4 linked regions of the Saccharomyces cerevisiae S288C genome follow. The gene in region 3 interacts genetically with the main gene of each other region. Each region holds a gene or a part of one and is shown on either strand. Other genes may lie near its edges. The genes, in order: RER2, ARO7, ERG11 and UBC7.

The links.
Region 1: mutations in ERG11 (region 3) and RER2 are lethal when combined (synthetic lethality), as found in Saccharomyces cerevisiae (2 studies listed by BioGRID, with this or other methods).
Region 2: mutations in ERG11 (region 3) and ARO7 together harm fitness more than expected from each alone (negative genetic interaction), as found in Saccharomyces cerevisiae (2 studies listed by BioGRID).
Region 4: mutations in ERG11 (region 3) and UBC7 are lethal when combined (synthetic lethality), as found in Saccharomyces cerevisiae (2 studies listed by BioGRID, with this or other methods).

Annotation. Positions count from the first base shown.
Region 1 is NC_001134.8:241,123-244,096, forward strand, and holds RER2 (ditrans,polycis-polyprenyl diphosphate synthase), read right to left. Parts: upstream 1,447-2,974; coding exon 586-1,446; downstream 1-585. Other genes in the region: alpha,alpha-trehalase NTH2, read right to left, coding at 1-161; COQ1 (trans-hexaprenyltranstransferase), read left to right, coding at 1,687-2,974.
Region 2 is NC_001148.4:674,259-677,569, forward strand, and holds ARO7 (chorismate mutase ARO7), read right to left. Parts: upstream 1,374-3,311; coding exon 603-1,373; downstream 1-602. Other genes in the region: YMC1 (organic acid transporter), read left to right, coding at 1-416; JID1 (Jid1p), read right to left, coding at 1,719-2,624; FCY1 (cytosine deaminase), read left to right, coding at 2,907-3,311. UniProt on the Saccharomyces cerevisiae protein: Catalyzes the Claisen rearrangement of chorismate to prephenate. Acts at the first branch point in the aromatic amino acid pathway where it steers biosynthesis towards phenylalanine and tyrosine, and away from tryptophan.
Region 3 is NC_001140.6:119,564-123,474, reverse strand, and holds ERG11 (sterol 14-demethylase), read left to right. Parts: upstream 1-1,791; coding exon 1,792-3,384; downstream 3,385-3,911. Other genes in the region: superoxide dismutase SOD2, read left to right, coding at 1-586; YHR007C-A (uncharacterized protein), read left to right, coding at 710-925. UniProt on the Saccharomyces cerevisiae protein: Sterol 14alpha-demethylase that plays a critical role in the third module of ergosterol biosynthesis pathway, being ergosterol the major sterol component in fungal membranes that participates in a variety of functions.
Region 4 is NC_001145.3:317,088-319,677, forward strand, and holds UBC7 (E2 ubiquitin-conjugating protein UBC7), read left to right. Parts: upstream 1-1,592; coding exon 1,593-2,090; downstream 2,091-2,590. Other genes in the region: MAC1 (Mac1p), read right to left, coding at 78-1,331; MSS1 (Mss1p), read right to left, coding at 2,350-2,590.

The sequences.
Region 1 (2,974 bases), on a different chromosome or scaffold from region 3:
ATAGAGGACAACCGCCGGTGATGTCTTCTACCACCTTGTTGCCCCTCTTCTTTCAACGGCCGCTGCTCTGAACCACTTGAAAGTGGCTTTATGTTATCTTCACCATCATTACCTTCGGATGGAGGATTTATTTCCGTTACTTTTGGTAAAAAATCTACCATTATTTGAGTATATGCAGGTCTCCTTATATACCAAATGTCTGATCCGAACCTGCGTCAAATATATTTGCAAAGGAAAAATATAAATAAATAAATAAAATTGAGAAATAAAGAATATTAGTTTTAATGGAAAACAGTTCCTACAAGCGCTATAACATATGAAATATACATTAGTCGAATATTAACTTTGGGAGGTAATTACAATTCCTATCCGCTTTATATAATTTAGTGGAACTGGCACGCCGCTCGGAAAAATTGGACTTCAAATTACCCCGCGCGGAGATTTGCATTATAAACTCTATAAAGATGCGTGAATTTCTACTCATTTATTACTAATTATTTGAATGTTCTTTTGCGAACTCATTTATCTTGCTCATTACTCTATAAATATCTATGCCATGTGGTAGGAAAAAAATGCAGACCTTTCTTAATTCAACTTTTTTTCTTTCAAATCGATGGGGTCCCCATTGGTTTCCTCGTCATAATCACCTTCCTCTAATCTGTACTCTTTGTTTAAAAAGGATTTGTGAAACGAAAATTTTAATAAAATCCATGCCATCCGTATAGGTCCAAACTCTGGCCATAAACAATCCAGCAATTCGATGCGTACGCCCTTACTCGATGCCTGCCATATCAAAAAGTCACTTAATCTGGAAACGCCACTTGTCCTAATCAATAAATCTAAAGGGGGTACCCCCGCCGTGTAGAGATGCGATTCTAACGTGCTTTCGTCTATAGCGGCGCCCTTCTTATGTTGAACAATTGTTTCTTTCATGGCATGCAAGATTTCTTCCCTGCCTGTATATGGAAAGCAGATATTTAACGTGGCCCTTTTGTTGTTCTTTGTAGTTTCCACAGCAACCCGAACATCTTCTAATAGAGACTTATCCAACAAAGAGAGATCGCCGATAATTTTAATGCGTACCCCATACTTACAGGCCAGCTCTCCACGTTCTGTGATTTGTCGTATCCTTTCGCGCGCTAAAGTCATCAGTGATTCAACTTCCCGTGAGCTCCTCTTGAAATTTTCAATTGAAAAGGCAAACACGGTAGCCGTATCGACTCCTGCTTCATAACACAGTTCTAAGATTCTACTCATACTAACAAATCCTGCCTCGTGGCCCTCCTTTACGTCCATCTCTTTCTTTCTAGCGAATCTCCTGTTCCCATCCATGATGAACCCAACATGTCTAGGTACACAGTTAGATGCACGCAATGTGCGCGAAAAGATGTTTTTTGTCCACTTTAACACAAATGAATGACCAGGTATACCACTATCCGTTTCCATACCGTCTTTTACCTGTGTTTACCCTATTTTTACTGCTTAAGTTCTATTGAAACCTGTCATTATTACGAAAATTTTTTTTTTTTTCATTCTAAGCATTTTGTTGGCATCTTCGGAAAAAGCCCGAGCGAGGGTAACAGGGTTAGGGGATTAGAAGATTAAAGTAAGACACATTATAATCTATAGAGATTTTCTACAACACAAGAAGTGTGCCATTCAGTCCGAATTGAGTACAGTGGGACGATGTTTCAAAGGTCTGGCGCTGCTCATCACATCAAATTGATTTCATCTCGAAGATGCCGCTTTAAATCCTCCTTTGCAGTTGCTTTAAACGCTGCCAGTAAGTTGGTAACTCCCAAGATTCTTTGGAATAATCCCATATCATTAGTCTCGAAGGAGATGAACACATTGGCCAAAAATATAGTTGCCCTCATCGGGTCTGGCCATCCGGTGCTAAACAAGGTTACTAGTTACTATTTTGAAACAGAAGGCAAAAAAGTACGTCCCTTGTTAGTGTTGTTGTTGTCAAGAGCACTTTCTGAAATTCCCATGACAGAAAGAAATCACTTGAAAATTGACAAGTCGGATGTTCCTGAGGACCCAATTTACTCTAAACCTAGTCAAAATCAACTATTTCAACGTCCTGCAAGTAGCATATCCCCACTACATATTCTTCACGGTATTAAACCACTAAATCCCTTGACAAAAGGTCCTGAGCCTTTGCCAGAAGAAACTTTTGACAAACAAAGAGGGATTTTACCCAAACAGAGAAGATTAGCAGAGATTGTAGAGATGATACACACTGCGTCTTTACTTCATGATGACGTTATTGATCATTCTGATACAAGAAGAGGAAGGCCAAGCGGAAATGCTGCCTTTACCAACAAGATGGCCGTTTTGGCGGGTGATTTTCTCTTAGGGAGAGCAACAGTGTCAATTTCAAGATTACACAACCCCGAAGTCGTAGAACTAATGTCTAATAGTATTGCGAATCTTGTCGAAGGTGAGTTCATGCAACTGAAAAATACTTCCATTGACGCGGATATCGATACCATCGAAAATGGCCATAAGCTACTTCCGGTTCCTTCTAAAAAGCTTGAAGTTAAAGAGCACGACTTTCGTGTTCCAAGCCGCCAACAGGGGCTGCAATTATCTCATGATCAGATTATAGAAACTGCATTTGAATACTACATACACAAGACCTATCTGAAGACTGCTGCTTTGATATCAAAATCTTGCAGATGTGCTGCTATATTATCTGGGGCATCACCTGCCGTTATCGACGAATGCTATGATTTCGGTAGAAATCTAGGTATATGTTTCCAACTCGTAGATGATATGCTTGATTTTACTGTGTCTGGAAAAGATTTAGGGAAGCCATCCGGCGCGGATCTAAAATTAGGTATTGCTACTGCTCCAGTCTTGTTTGCATGGAAAGAAGACCCATCTTTAGGTCCACTAATTTCACGCAATTTTTCAGAGAGGGGTGATGTTGAAAAAACTATTGATTCTGTGAGACTCCATAATGGTA
Region 2 (3,311 bases), on a different chromosome or scaffold from region 3:
TAAGACATAACAAGGCCTTGCTACGTGGTTTAACACCTACAATATTGAGAGAAGGTCATGGATGTGGCACATATTTCTTAGTGTATGAAGCGTTGATTGCTAACCAAATGAACAAAAGACGTGGACTAGAGAGAAAGGACATTCCTGCATGGAAACTTTGTATTTTTGGAGCATTGTCTGGCACTGCCTTATGGTTGATGGTATATCCATTAGATGTCATCAAGTCTGTCATGCAAACGGATAATTTACAAAAGCCTAAATTTGGTAATTCTATTTCCAGTGTAGCCAAGACTTTATATGCCAATGGAGGGATAGGCGCTTTTTTCAAAGGGTTTGGTCCTACCATGCTAAGAGCTGCTCCCGCCAATGGTGCCACTTTTGCTACTTTTGAATTAGCGATGAGGTTATTGGGTTGATAATTCCTATAGAATTTATGAGCCATCGTTTAAGAAAATAGTACAATATAATGTATAACTTGAAACTCTATCTTCTTATATTCAATAGATGCTACTATGCGTACATATATATGGTGAGTGTGTGTGTTTATATATGCGTAGTAATCACTCGGCAATGTGGAATTGTTACCGTGATAGCCTTCATGCTTACTCTTCCAACCTTCTTAGCAAGTATTCCACCTCAACTTCCTTAGTGATAGGTATAACAATTTCCTTATAAATTTTTACCAAATATTCTGGAGTAATCCTTCTTTCACCTGACTCGTTGGTAGGGTCCACACCATAGACTTCAGCCTTCTTAGTTAATCTTTCTAGAATCTTTTCTTCAACGGCAGAATTGGTGATATTCTTCATTATCCCCTCGACATCTTTACTTTTGATCAGCTTTGTGTATAGCGGGATATCCGATTGGAACTTGGCTTCAGCAACAAACTTGCCAAAGTGGATTCTCCTACTCAAGCTTTGCAAACATTCTATATCTCTAGTGGCAACAGAACCGAAGTTATTCTTATCATCACCATCTCTTTTCGAAATTAATGGTATAATCTTTTCAATATAAACTTTTTTTATTTTATCATTGTAATTAACTTCTGGGGCATAAGGCGCCAAAATTTGTGGGTAGTTAATGCTCGGTAAGAATGATTTCTGAATCTTGTCAGGAAAGAAGGGAGTTTCATCAGGTGATTCGAATCTTCTGATGCGAGAATGCGCAATTTCAAGATTTGAAAGAGCCCAATCCAAGAAAGATCCTTTAAAATTCGGAATTTCTAAACCTGGATGGTTTGCCTCATAAACTGAAGGACATGTGGCGAAATGCGACCTCTCAATAAATTTGAAGATGATCGAATCCTCCATTCTAACTAATTCATCTCTAATATTTTGTAGATTTAAAACAGTTTCTGGTTTTGTGAAATCCATATCTTATACCAATTTTATGCAGGATGCTGAGTGCTATTTGTTAGCAAAACGGAATCGATGTTTCAACTTTTCAATACTTTTTTTCTTCTTTTCTTCGAACTTCGAAGATTATAGAGATCCATTGAAAATTTACGATAAAGGAAATGCAACACGAAGTTTGAAAAAAAGTTGATATTGAAAAAAAAAAAAAAAGAGAACCAAAAAAAAATTAAAAAACGTGAAAACGATGGTTTAACAACTTTTTTCGAATTTGGTATACGTGGAAAAACGAATGTATAGATGCATTTTTAAAGAATATATATAAAATTTAGTAATTGTATTCCGCGAGCGGCGCAATAGGTGATTTCATTTAGCTGCTTTCAGTTTGCGTATCATTTCTTCATTGATCTTGGCTTCTCTATCTAAATCCTCTTTCGACTTGTAAAGTCCCCAAGTTCTAAACCATAAGAACCGCCTCAATCTGGAAAATTTGTCAGTATCAAGACCATAATTCGTGTATGACTGAATCAAATGTAATCCACTTTCGTCATGAGTAAATTCGGCCTTGCTCAGAGACTCCTGGATTTTGGCTAACAACGCAGTCCCTTCGATGCATATAGCTAGGCCACAAATTATGCCAATAACGGTCCATGGGTTGATGTTTTCTTGAATTCTTTCGTTTTTCATGCTATTTGCGTCTTCCCAAGTCCCAGCGTTCCAGTATTCATACTGCGCGTTAGAGTGGTAGCCATAAGAGCCGGCATATTGGTAATTTTCAGTATTAACGTTAGAACGTGGTGAATACGATGTGGTCCAGCCTTGCCTCGTTGTGTCATATACGATCTTTTTCTTTGGGTCACAAAGAATATCATATGCTTGAGAGATGACTTTAAATCTATGTAGTTTTTCGCTTGATGTTAGCAGCAGCGGTGATTTACTATCACTGTTGGTAACCTTTTCTGAGCTAAATATTTGAATGTTATCGGAATGGTCAGGGTGGTACAATTTTACATAACGATGATATTTTTTTTTTAACGACTTCTTGTCCAGTTTAGGATTTCCAGATCCGGCCTTTGGAATGCCAAAAATATCATAGGGAGTTGGATCTGCCAACTCAGGCCATTGTTCATCCCTTATCGTAAGTTTTCTATTGCCATTTTTATCGTTCGCTGTAGCATACTTAGCTATAAAAGTGATTTGTGGGGGACACTTTTCTACACATGATAAGTGCCACTTGAATAAAAATGGGTATACGAACTTATGGTGTAGCATAACAAATATATTGCAAGTAGTGACCTATGGTGTGTAGATATACGTACAGTTAGTTACGAGCCTAAAGACACAACGTGTTTGTTAATTATACTGTCGCTGTAATATCTTCTCTTCCATTATCACCGGTCATTCCTTGCAGGGGCGGTAGTACCCGGAGACCCTGAACTTTTCTTTTTTTTTTTGCGAAATTAAAAAGTTCATTTTCAATTCGACAATGAGATCTACAAGCCATTGTTTTATGTTGATGAGAGCCAGCTTAAAGAGTTAAAAATTTCATAGCTAATGGTGACAGGGGGAATGGCAAGCAAGTGGGATCAGAAGGGTATGGACATTGCCTATGAGGAGGCGGCCTTAGGTTACAAAGAGGGTGGTGTTCCTATTGGCGGATGTCTTATCAATAACAAAGACGGAAGTGTTCTCGGTCGTGGTCACAACATGAGATTTCAAAAGGGATCCGCCACACTACATGGTGAGATCTCCACTTTGGAAAACTGTGGGAGATTAGAGGGCAAAGTGTACAAAGATACCACTTTGTATACGACGCTGTCTCCATGCGACATGTGTACAGGTGCCATCATCATGTATGGTATTCCACGCTGTGTTGTCGGTGAGAACGTTAATTTCAAAAGTAAGGGCGAGAAATATTTACAAACTAGAGGTCACGAGGTTGTTGTTGTTGACGATGAG
Region 3 (3,911 bases):
ATTGGAACCTTATATCTCCGGTCAAATCAACGAATTGCATTACACCAAGCACCATCAAACTTATGTGAACGGATTCAACACTGCTGTTGACCAATTCCAAGAACTCTCAGATCTTCTGGCCAAGGAGCCCTCTCCCGCAAACGCAAGAAAAATGATTGCTATCCAACAAAACATCAAGTTCCATGGCGGTGGTTTCACAAACCACTGTCTATTCTGGGAAAACCTGGCTCCAGAGTCGCAGGGCGGTGGTGAACCACCCACCGGCGCTTTGGCAAAGGCAATCGACGAGCAGTTTGGCAGTCTGGACGAGCTGATTAAGTTGACCAACACAAAGCTAGCAGGCGTGCAGGGCTCCGGATGGGCCTTCATTGTGAAAAACCTCTCTAATGGAGGCAAGCTGGACGTTGTTCAAACCTACAACCAGGATACCGTCACAGGCCCACTAGTTCCTCTAGTTGCCATTGACGCCTGGGAACACGCCTACTACTTGCAGTACCAAAACAAGAAAGCCGACTACTTCAAAGCCATTTGGAATGTGGTCAACTGGAAAGAAGCATCCAGAAGATTCGATGCTGGCAAGATCTGAAGAAAGAAAGAAAGAAAATACCTTTTTTTTTCCACTGTGTCGTTTTTATTCTAACTACTCTACTAAATCACACAACCACACTCCCCTATTTAATAATATATTTTACTATTAAAATACATATACATGCATCGTAAAAAAAGAAAAAAAGAAAAGAAAAGAACCGAAAAAGACAATACAACCAACCTTCCTCCACTTTTTCTTTTTCCTTGTTCTCTCTCGCTTCCTACGTTACTCGCGCCTGTGCACTACATTCCCACCAGATTAACTCACCACCAGGCAGAGAACCAATTGTTCTTGTTATTGTTCCAACCGATAATTGTAAAGCCATTAAGGTCGTAAACGACTGCTTACTCAGGGAGATCTCCGAAAACGGCAATTGCTGTGCACCGTGCGACGTTATGATCGCCGCCTGTCCCGTACAGACGAACAATTGCAACAATGGGCGGTTGTTTAGAGAGGTTTTGTGCCGCGCCCGGGAATTACCGGGGGCACAGCAAAATACGAAATTTCCGGCAAAATGTCTCTGTACGAAAATGAGGCCAGCCTTTATTCCCGACTAAGCCGTACGATTATAGTAATGTCACACGAAGTGGATACTATACGAGCAGCGCACATACAATGTGCGTGCAAGATTTGCCGGGTTGGACAATCTTAAAGGCCGATAATCCACGAAAAACGAGACAAACGAAGCGCTGGCCCTAAACGAAACGAAACGAAACTAAGATTTCAAGATAATCGCTTTTCAGATGACAATAGTCTCTTGCAGAACACAATAAGTGTGGTAGGTATCTTGCAGGAGACATCGATTTTATGCCTGAATTTTTTTTTTTTCTTGGTATGAGCACATCCTATTGTGCATCTCCACGAGTTAACGACGTTTACGTACTCGCATGTATTCGAAAAGCCTCTAAAAATTGCCCTCCATGTGTATTCATTATATAAGATAGCGTATTTTCCCTTAGTTTTCTTATTCCCTCTTAATTCTCTCTTTCAATGTCTTTTTTTTTTTCCCTTTTCCTTTTTCCCTTTTCGTTATTGGTAAATTATTTATAAAAAGATTGATAAGCAGTATCGTTCAGCGTGTGTATTTTCGATAGGAAGTAATAATTTTTCATTATATTAATTAATAGTTTCCAGAAAAAATTTTTTTTCCTTCACAATTGCAGCAGGCTTGAATAGAAACAGAACAAACGAGTAATACAAGGATGTCTGCTACCAAGTCAATCGTTGGAGAGGCATTGGAATACGTAAACATTGGTTTAAGTCATTTCTTGGCTTTACCATTGGCCCAAAGAATCTCTTTGATCATAATAATTCCTTTCATTTACAATATTGTATGGCAATTACTATATTCTTTGAGAAAGGACCGTCCACCTCTAGTGTTTTACTGGATTCCATGGGTCGGTAGTGCTGTTGTGTACGGTATGAAGCCATACGAGTTTTTCGAAGAATGTCAAAAGAAATACGGTGATATTTTTTCATTCGTTTTGTTAGGAAGAGTCATGACTGTGTATTTAGGACCAAAGGGTCACGAATTTGTCTTCAACGCTAAGTTGGCAGATGTTTCAGCAGAAGCTGCTTACGCTCATTTGACTACTCCAGTTTTCGGTAAAGGTGTTATTTACGATTGTCCAAATTCTAGATTGATGGAGCAAAAGAAGTTTGTTAAGGGTGCTCTAACCAAAGAAGCCTTCAAGAGCTACGTTCCATTGATTGCTGAAGAAGTGTACAAGTACTTCAGAGACTCCAAAAACTTCCGTTTGAATGAAAGAACTACTGGTACTATTGACGTGATGGTTACTCAACCTGAAATGACTATTTTCACCGCTTCAAGATCATTATTGGGTAAGGAAATGAGAGCAAAATTGGATACCGATTTTGCTTACTTGTACAGTGATTTGGATAAGGGTTTCACTCCAATCAACTTCGTCTTCCCTAACTTACCATTGGAACACTATAGAAAGAGAGATCACGCTCAAAAGGCTATCTCCGGTACTTACATGTCTTTGATTAAGGAAAGAAGAAAGAACAACGACATTCAAGACAGAGATTTGATCGATTCCTTGATGAAGAACTCTACCTACAAGGATGGTGTGAAGATGACTGATCAAGAAATCGCTAACTTGTTAATTGGTGTCTTAATGGGTGGTCAACATACTTCTGCTGCCACTTCTGCTTGGATTTTGTTGCACTTGGCTGAAAGACCAGATGTCCAACAAGAATTGTACGAAGAACAAATGCGTGTTTTGGATGGTGGTAAGAAGGAATTGACCTACGATTTATTACAAGAAATGCCATTGTTGAACCAAACTATTAAGGAAACTCTAAGAATGCACCATCCATTGCACTCTTTGTTCCGTAAGGTTATGAAAGATATGCACGTTCCAAACACTTCTTATGTCATCCCAGCAGGTTATCACGTTTTGGTTTCTCCAGGTTACACTCATTTAAGAGACGAATACTTCCCTAATGCTCACCAATTCAACATTCACCGTTGGAACAAAGATTCTGCCTCCTCTTATTCCGTCGGTGAAGAAGTCGATTACGGTTTCGGTGCCATTTCTAAGGGTGTCAGCTCTCCATACTTACCTTTCGGTGGTGGTAGACACAGATGTATCGGTGAACACTTTGCTTACTGTCAGCTAGGTGTTCTAATGTCCATTTTTATCAGAACATTAAAATGGCATTACCCAGAGGGTAAGACCGTTCCACCTCCTGACTTTACATCTATGGTTACTCTTCCAACCGGTCCAGCCAAGATCATCTGGGAAAAGAGAAATCCAGAACAAAAGATCTAAGGTTTGTAACTGAGAAAAAAAAAAAAAACAGAAAAAGAGAGAAGTTGTACATTCACGTGGGCCTTATCGCCACACTCATCCATCTCCAATGATTTATTTTATTTGCCAGTACGTTTGATATGACATCGAGTTATGTTCTTTAGTTACTTTCAAACTTGGACAACCATCCCGCATTATTTATGAGTGGTATGGTTTCACTTCTTTATTTATAAATATTTATACTACGAAATTATATATAGATTACATTTCTAAAACAACATCAAATATAAGGTTTATTTATGCAACATGCCTACTGGATTAGAAGAGAGAACACACAGCTCACAGGCCAAGCGGAAATAAAGCAGTCTTTTCGCAAACTTGTAAATCTTTTTGCAATTTAAATTAATCAAGAGAGGGCCCAGGAGGAGAGGAGTTTTGGGGAGGGGTCACTGAGGAAGCTCTCTTAAATATGGATTCACTGAAATAAATGTATATAAGATTCATTACTGCTTTTTATAGTGATAAATCCAAATGATGAGTGAATTGAA
Region 4 (2,590 bases), on a different chromosome or scaffold from region 3:
ATGGTGGTTCAGAGAGTAGTAGGGTGCATTTTCATTCCTGTTGCCTCAATGTGTTTTCTATCTGTATTTACGTGATTTTATGAAGTGGTGGCATCGCTTAGATGTGGTGCATAATTAGAGACTAATTTTTGAAACCACGCATGAATGTCAAGTAATTCTAACTGAGCATCTGTCATCAATGGCACTTGCAACTTCAAAAAATCCCACCAATATTTTGACGGCACCAATTTACCTTTGAATTTTATTTGAGTTTTCCTTGTTAATCTTGCATTCAGAATTCCATAGAAAAAGAATTTTTCAAATGGAATTATATTTGTAGAGTGAGAAAAACATCCATCACAAGTGCAGTTATCCGGAGGACATATGCATTCCTTGTCAGTGCATTTACAATCATCCAAATAATCCATCATCTTATCAGTAATTTGAGCTTCACCAATATTGGTTAAAGGAACACCACTTTGTTGAATATAAGAATTCAGTTCCTCTTCGCTTCTATGGATTAGACAATTAACACATGGGCAGCTTTCATCTTCACAAGAGCACTGCGTGCTTAAAAAAATGCCCTTATGAGTCAGGACTTCAACTTTCGAAGCAACGTCGCTTGAATGAGGAGCAGCAATCGTTGTTGTACTTTGTGGGGTGAGTGTTTCTGAACTGTCATGCGCACCAGGAACAGAACTATTGTAGTTTTCTTGTAAAATATCGTTAAAAGCGGACGTAGATTCCAAGGAGCCGTATGGCGTAAATATGTCATCAGACGGTGCCTTGTTCGTCTTGCCATTAGAAGCTGGGTTCTGTGATTTATCTTTCTTACAGCAGTTTGAAAAATGTCGTATAGGCTCCTGTTGAAGCCGGCTTCGCTCTTTCTTCTCACTTGAAGAAGATGACTTGGTAGAGTCCGGAGATATTGTTCCTGTTGCCGGAGCTTTGGGAGAGTGTTTCCTAAGAAACTCCGTTTCGGTGATATATTTGTTACCATCATCGGTAAATGTGCTAATATCTTTAGGCTCATGAGCAGTGAAACCTTCCTCCATTAATATATGCAATTTTCCGTTTATCATTCTTGCCTTTCTAACAGCAGAGGCACGTACAAACAGTATTGGCTGTTGATTCATTGCGCTGCAGCAGTCACCTTCAATTTGTGCACCATTTTCGTATTCTGTACTTTGCGATGTAGAGTCTACTAAAATAGCGTCTCTGATAGCCATGGGTGAAGGTCTTCCTCTAGTTCTCACCTTAATTAGCATTCGGTGAGAATGCCTGCATGTTGAAGAGCGATGCCCTCTGATGCACGATGCACACGCATATTTGTTCCCATTAAATATTATCATCTCTGATAGAGCTTGAAGAACTTACCAGACTGTTTCAAGTTTAAAACAAGGCGCCTCATCGCATCTACCTCACGAAGATGCAGCAGCTTATTGTCTCGAGATCCTTCTTATAACTCCTTTTCGCCATTACCCGAAAACGAGATTACAGCCTCTAAACCAAGAGCTCGAAAAGCGCCAAAGTAAACTCTGGCGTTTAGCGTACGAAGGAGATTATCCTAAAAGGAACTTCCCTAGTAATAGTGTAATTTGGAAGGGCATAGCATGTCGAAAACCGCTCAGAAACGTCTCCTCAAGGAGCTTCAACAGTTAATTAAAGATTCTCCACCTGGTATAGTGGCTGGTCCCAAATCGGAGAATAACATATTCATTTGGGACTGCCTAATTCAAGGGCCTCCAGATACGCCATACGCTGATGGTGTTTTTAATGCTAAGCTAGAGTTTCCTAAAGACTATCCGTTATCTCCACCTAAACTTACTTTCACACCCAGCATACTACATCCAAATATTTATCCAAATGGGGAAGTGTGCATATCCATTCTACACTCCCCTGGTGATGATCCTAACATGTACGAATTAGCGGAAGAAAGATGGTCGCCAGTGCAAAGTGTAGAAAAAATTCTATTAAGTGTTATGAGCATGTTGAGTGAGCCCAATATCGAAAGTGGTGCCAACATTGATGCTTGCATCTTGTGGAGAGATAATAGACCTGAATTTGAGAGACAGGTAAAGTTATCCATTTTGAAATCATTAGGATTCTGAAAGCAGGTAGCAGGTTAATGATCATTTGGTCTTCCTTTTAACTGTTCTCTATATACATAAATAAGCATATCTACCATCTAAAAGAAAGCAAATGTCACATAATAAATATGTTAAAATCTCAATGTCTTCCTGGCTTTTCAGGAATTCAAACCATTTCCATTTCGTTGGTGTATAATCAGGGGCCCCTCTACTCTCACCTCTCTGTACCGAAGCGTTAATCAATTTTCTTTTATTTATATACACGATGATTGTAACTAGGTTATTTTCCTATACAAAATTTGCTGAACACTGAATCTAAGATTTCCTCAATACCAATAGCTTGTCCTGTTATCTTAGCTATTCCATCGGATGCATACCTCAAATTTTCTGTGGCCAATACTATATCATTATGGAAATCTTTGGATTTGAAAAACTCTTCCAAGCCGTACAGTACGTCGTTTTTGAGAATCTCTGACACTCTTTTGGAAACAATGACAGGACTTGCATCGGCACTTGATTGA